Danio rerio: one gene and its partner. The protein of the gene in region 2 purifies or fractionates together with the protein of the main gene of each other region. This does not show direct contact. Links are inferred from orthologs where the notes say so. Each region holds a gene or a part of one and is shown on either strand. Other genes may lie near its edges.

Region 1 (2,322 bases), on a different chromosome or scaffold from region 2:
CAAACACTAGTGCAAACTAAACAGTAGACAATTTCTAAAACTAAAACAAATGGCTAAAAGCACCCTCTTACCTGGGGCCAACTGAAACATGCAGCCTTTTGTGTTAAAGTGCAAATTAAACCGATAATTGCTTAGCAAATATGTGATGGTTCACTATTTTGAAAAAAATTACTGAAATAATTCAATGGGGCAGTAACTTAGTTATTTTGAATATTTACAATATGTTGCCAAAAATACATAAATATGAATTAGAGTCACTGTTTTTGAAATCTTTTTGAATCTGTTTTTGAGTCATGTTAAAAGTACAAAACTGGTTTTATTTACACAAAGCATATACATATACAAATAGATAAAAATAAATGCAATCAGATTATAAAGTACACAAAATGCTGTATTATTCTTATACTGTTTTGATGCTTGATGCTAAATTCCTTTTCAACTTAAATCCATAGGCTTACATGAACATATGTACAAGTACGTTTAAAACCATTCTATCCAGCTCTTTTATATGTGCGTACAAGTGGAAATTACCTGCTTGCTTTGAAAGCTTTGAGTTTCTGTACAAAGAAGGACTCCAGGAACTCCGCACACTGGTAAAAAGGCGAGTCGCTGGGGTTGTAGTAGCGGCAGTTGTCGAAGATTTTGGTCATGTCCGCTACGAACTCTGTGAGTTTGCTGTAAAAGCGTTTCTGTATCCTCTCTTCCATTGTAGAAAGGTCTGCATGCAACGGAAATGCAAGGAGAGAAGAAAATAATACAACCAATTATTAAAACAAAGATACATTATTAAAAATTAGTACATGAACACAATAAATTATCAAAATGGTGAAATTCTTTTCAAAGACCTTATAAGTCACACATTTGTCATATTTGACTGCTAGCTGACAAGAAGTCTAGTCACTGCTGAAAATGGTTGATATTTCCTAATAATTCTCTCATCATTAGGTAGGTAACAGCACAAAGATGATCATTTTTCAGCTTCAGTGATTTTAACAGCATTTTTTTTTACCAAGGTACACATCGCATGATAAGTGTTTGGCTCTCCAATAAATACTGCTTCTCAACAGTTTTGAAAGCACACATAGGTTGATAGATCACACAAAAATTTAATTCTGTCTTCAATTATTGCTCCACTTGTTCTAAACCGGTTTGAATTAATTTTTTTATGAACTCACTTTTTCCATGAGGAAAAGCAGCCATAGATTTCCATAGTATTTTCTGTTCCTACTATGGATGTCAATGGCTGCTTTTTTCCAACAAATTTTAGAACACCTTGCTTTGTGTTCAACACAAGAAATTCATAAACGTTTACAAAAACTAGAGCGTGAGTAAATGATAAATGAACATTTTTGGGTGAACTATCAGTTTTAAAAAAAGTTCTACAATTTGATGTTTAAAGAGCCCATATTATGGGTTTTTGAAAATTCCCCTCCATGTAGTGTGTAACACAGCTCTAAGTGAAGCGAAGTATCCAGCTAAGGCTTAAATCTGTAAGAATACAGTGTTTAAAACGGTTGATTCATCTATAAAAGAGTCGACTCATAGTGCTTCAAACGAGTCGCCTTGATACCGACTCATTAGGTGTTTCGCCATGACGTACGAACGAAACCAAGTTATTCACGTGCACGCGCAAACCCGGGAGATTTCAAACCTGAGGCCCCGCCCTCTGACGCAGAAACCCAGACACACACCCACAAACACACGCACACCCACAAACACACGCACACAAACATGCCGGTCGATTGAAGTCACACTGCAGATGGATATATTGAGTCTCTACCCAAAGATGAAACCTCAGCATTATAACCAAGCAGTTGGAAACTTCTGGAAGCTACATGCTACAAAGAATACTTCATCTGAGTTTGTTAAAGGAAGGATCAGTAAAGAGTAACTGATGGACGTCAGGATGGGTTTCTTCCATTTCTCAAGTGTAAGTACGTGCGGTTAAAGTTGTTGCCTCGTTTACTCTTGCTTGCAAATGTATTTAGTTGTGATTTGTTACTTGTAACCGCGTGTACTGTATCAGGTTAACTGGATATTTGATCTTATCGCGTGCAAAGTCACGTTAAAAACGCGACGCGTGCTGTTTGTTTATGGAGCTCCGTGCTAGAGTTCTGCTCCCGCGATTTATTCGGAAATTTATTCCCGCGCCGCAGAAATCTGGCGCGGGGACAGCCGCGGGAATAAATTTCCGAATAAATCGCGGGAGCGGTCGGTAACGGGTTTAATTTGGGACGGGAGCGGGCTGTCTAGCAATATCACGGATATTGCTATGCGAATTAGAAAGAGAGAGTCTGCGTGGTGCTTGTGTGTGTGTGTGTT
Region 2 (4,258 bases):
CCCACTTATCTCTTCCACTCCATGAAATCCCCTTGTGCATGTCCTAGACTCTCCTTGCTCTGTACTATGTGCTTTAAAAATGGACTGTTATCCTCCGACAATATTAGTGCTGATGTCTGTTAATGTACAACATTTATAGCTATAAAGAAAGCATTTTATAATAGCCCAGAGATAGAGATTGATGTTAGCAATAACACTATACACTTAATATAGAATATATTTATTTGAACGCATTTACACTCGTGCAATTTCACTGACTATAAACAGTGGTCACGAATTGAAGGAATGATCATGGGGATTGTAAATGTCTACAAATCAACTGGTTCTTCAAAGCAATATAGAGTGCCATGTGCTATCTTTTTTCTAGTATGTTGTTGTTTGTCTAATTTGCATTCATTTTAGAATGGGTTTAAAGGTTTCCCCGATGACATAATTGTTAAGAAAATGTATTGCAGCTGATACCTGCCTCTTAAATTTCATCATACAGACAAAATATGAAATTGTAAAACCTTATTATTCTACCCCAAGTATATGTAGAACATTGCTGAGCAAGCATTTTATGTTCTGCATTTGTTGCACTTTGACAACATGCATATAATAATAGCAACCACTGTTATAGTTGCTCTTGTTGTTCATGTTTTTATTGTTCATTTGGTCCAGATATTGCCAGCTGTGTCAAAATAGTGCCAAACATGTATAGTGACAGCATCGTGCAAATCCTCTGCATGGTGTTACTTGTCATATCCGCCCTCTCTGGACATCATATCAGAAGCTTTCCAACGCATCCCTCAATAAACAGTAATTGAATTAAAGGAAAGCTACTTGTTGGTGTTTTCTTTTAAAAGTAAATGAATTCTAGTTGCCTGCTTTGTGCACTAGAGGGCAGCTGACGCCAGTATAAACATCACGCATGCGCGATAGATGCTCTCTCAGCTCCATTTCGATGTTTTTCTTAGTTGTAGTGTACATAGTGGTAGTGAATAGATAAGACGCAGAACACTATCTTCCCCGTCTTTCAATATCAAATTTTGAGGTTCTGGACTAATGTCGCATTTGTTAAAGGCATATTTAACATCATATAAAATCACTTTATATTTTGCTTAAAGATTTTATTCATTTTAAAAACTCTTGCCTGTGATTGCAAAGACGAATGAATGTGTTAAATAGCACGGTTTTCATCTAAACCAATAAAACCTTATTACCTCCGTCTGCTCTGACAAGAAAATATTAAAACCAACGGTCTACGTAGGGTTTACAGAAACAAGTACGGCTGTATTGCGCATTAATAAATTACGAATTTGGACCGAGGAAACCCTGAGGAGAAAGCGCGAACGAGCTGCGCAGTTTCGACGCAGCTTTGAATGTGCCGAGTTCATTTCTGGTGGGCACCAATAACAACCGATTGCTGGAATTCAAACCAATGGGCATCGCCGAAACACAGTATCATCTTTACAATTATGCTACCAGCTTAGTCAAAGAACACGTTTTATTGTTGTTCCAAAATGTAAATAATTGAGGAATAAGTATCGCTGCCGATTTATATCAGCCGTTGCTGTCCACGTTAGCTTGAAGTGTCCTAGCTTTTTCTAAAACGCAGTCCTCATTACTTGGTTGCAAATCAAAACAATGACTTCGGCCTCTACAAAGGTAAATGTTTACAAATATGATACCTAAAGAACGATTAAATGTTTGTGTTGGTAGTGTGCATCCATGCTTACTGTATTCAATGCTTTGTGTTGTCAATAAAGCTACTGGCTAACATGCTAACTATCATCGTAATGTCAATTCCTAAATACACGTTTCTACGATCTCGGCGGATTCTGTACATTACTTATTTCTTGATGTCTGTGTTTAGGTCGGCGAGATCTTTTCTGCAGCTGGAGCTGCTTTCACAAAGTTGGGAGAGCTGACCATGCAGCTGCATCCAGTAGCAGATACTACTCCAGCAGGGTGAGACACTCGCTGCCTATTTAACTTCACGTTCTGCATCACAGTTCGGACTGGATGGTTTATACTTAAACTGGCACGTGTAAAAAGTTGTATAACGTGTACATTTCTCTTCAAAGTAATACATATGGTGTACATGGAAAATACTTTATTGATCATTTAAAAATATGTTTTTTTTTATTTCCCTTGGGTCCCTCAAACGCTTTCTAACCCTTGTCTGCTTTGACAATTTACGAATAATTGTTACGTTTTAATGTTAGCAATAAATTAAAGCACTAAACCATTTTCTTATGTAAACAGTTTTTAATATTATCCATTTATTTTTATTTGTAATTGCTAAATTTTTAAAGCCATTGTTTTTACTGACATTATGGGCAAAAACACTTCTTTTGCTTTCTGTCAGGGCCAAGTATTTTTGCAAACTTTAAACTAACTGGTTTATAATTAAAACAAGAACAAATATCTGCCAGTAGCCCAATACAAACAGAAAAGAAAATGTTTCACAACATTGACAGATTAATAATAAACCCTAAGTACTGTTTAAAAACAAAACATTTTACAAGGGCTTTTATAGGTTTCGTCAAGTCATATTTAAGACTTTTAAAGACCTTTTAAGACCATTCTGAATGAAATTTCAGACTTACACAAGGCTAACACTAAGGGTTTTTTAATGGCCCAAACATAAAAAAAACACATTAAAACAAATGTTATTTTAAGATAATTAAACCATATGTCTATGAATATAAATAGAGTTGGTAAATAGATTTACAAAATATTAGTTAATAAATAAACTTTTGTTTAAACTTTCAGTGAGTTGGAATGATAGTGATTGGATGGGTGTTGGCCCAATTGGGTAGCTTTACATGGAAAAAATTAACACTGGTTTAAAATGATTTAAGACCTACAACACAAGATTTCAGTGAATTTAAGAATTTTTTTTAAGGCCTGAAATTTTTATTTGAAAAATTGTAGACATTTTAAGTCTTTTTAAGACCACACTGTGGTAAAATACTGTGTAAAAGAATTATTGAGTTTGACCAACAAATGTATTGTTTGACCAGAAATATTATTTTTGTTGTGGTGCTACACATTTATATATATATATATATATATATATATATATATATATATATATATATATATATATATATATATATATATATAAATATTGCATACAAAAGATATTTAGAAGAATGTTGGAACCTGTTAGCCATTGAAATCCACAGTATAACTATTTATATATATATTTATTTAATCATAATAAATTATGGAAGTCAAACATTCTTCATGTTTTCTTTTTGTGTTCAATAGAAGAAAAAAACTCAAGTAAGTCTGGACCAAATACAAAACTAAATTATGCAAATTTGATTGAACTGTCCCTTAAAGGTCTTGAATTGTCAAATGTTAAATTAAGACTTGACTAGAGCCTGAGATTATTCTGTTCATTTTGATAGAAACATTACGCAAAAAATACCTGTCTGTAGAATTGACAACTGTTTTGGTTTAATCTTTTTAAAGTTACTATGCGTATGGCTTAGAAAAAGTAAACAAATGAAAGCATCTTAAATTCAGGTGAAATTTGCATTACAGTTCCTAAGTACCATTCTTTTCGGAAACTCAAGAAGACCCCCGATGTTTTATTTATATTTTACATTTGCCATCAATAAAGACTCATTAGTTGTGTAGCTCTTCTGTAATAATTAGTCTTTTATTATATCGTACATTTGTAATTAATAAGGACATTTAAGTTGCGTAGCTTGTGAGTAATAAATTTTTTTTTTCCTCCTCAAAATAAGGGCCCAAATGACAACAGCAGTCAAGAGGAAGTTGTATGATGACAGTGGAGCCCCTCTATCCACCAATTCACCAAAGAAGAGCACCAAAAAGGTGCCGGTTTCAATGGCTCCACCAGCCCCACCAAAAGTCATTGCTGTGCCAACATCTCAAGTTGTTGTGACTGCAGGCTTACAGCGGGCAAGCACAGGTCCATCTAGCATTAAGTCATCAAAAACGGCAGGTCGGCATTACTTAATTCACTTGTTTTGTTTTTCATTTTAAACTTGCAAAATTGTTTAGCAGATTGAAAATTGTCAAATACAACTAATGTATTGATATGCTTTTTCCACAGACGTCACTCTCAGTGCACTGAATGACTCTGATGCCAACAGTGATTTGGTAGATATTGAAGGCTTGGGTGATAGTTCATCATCTAAAAAGCTTAATTTTGACCAAGGTAAGAGACAGCTTTTTGGTGTATTTTTCTCTCCAAATTTTAACCCCTTCACAATCTCTGTCCTGTATTTTTTCAAAG

What was found. Proteins that work in one complex are often made in the same cells at the same time.
Region 1: the proteins of zgc:92664 (region 2) and bptf purify together in Homo sapiens (affinity purification with mass spectrometry; 5 studies listed by BioGRID and IntAct, with this or other methods). This does not show direct contact. The link is inferred for Danio rerio from reciprocal best matches to the Homo sapiens genes BACC1 and BPTF.

The regions. Positions count from the first base shown.
Region 1 is NC_133178.1:24,124,811-24,127,132, forward strand, and holds part of bptf (nucleosome-remodeling factor subunit BPTF), read right to left. Parts: intron 719-2,322; coding exon 532-718; intron 1-531. UniProt on the Homo sapiens protein: Regulatory subunit of the ATP-dependent NURF-1 and NURF-5 ISWI chromatin remodeling complexes, which form ordered nucleosome arrays on chromatin and facilitate access to DNA during DNA-templated processes such as DNA replication, transcription, and repair.
Region 2 is NC_133182.1:26,105,468-26,109,725, reverse strand, and holds the start of zgc:92664 (uncharacterized protein LOC436695), read left to right. Parts: upstream 1-1,451; 5' UTR 1,452-1,626; coding exon 1,627-1,647; intron 1,648-1,855; coding exon 1,856-1,950; intron 1,951-3,743; coding exon 3,744-3,964; intron 3,965-4,075; coding exon 4,076-4,180; intron 4,181-4,258. UniProt on the Homo sapiens protein: Component of chromatin complexes such as the MLL1/MLL and NURF complexes.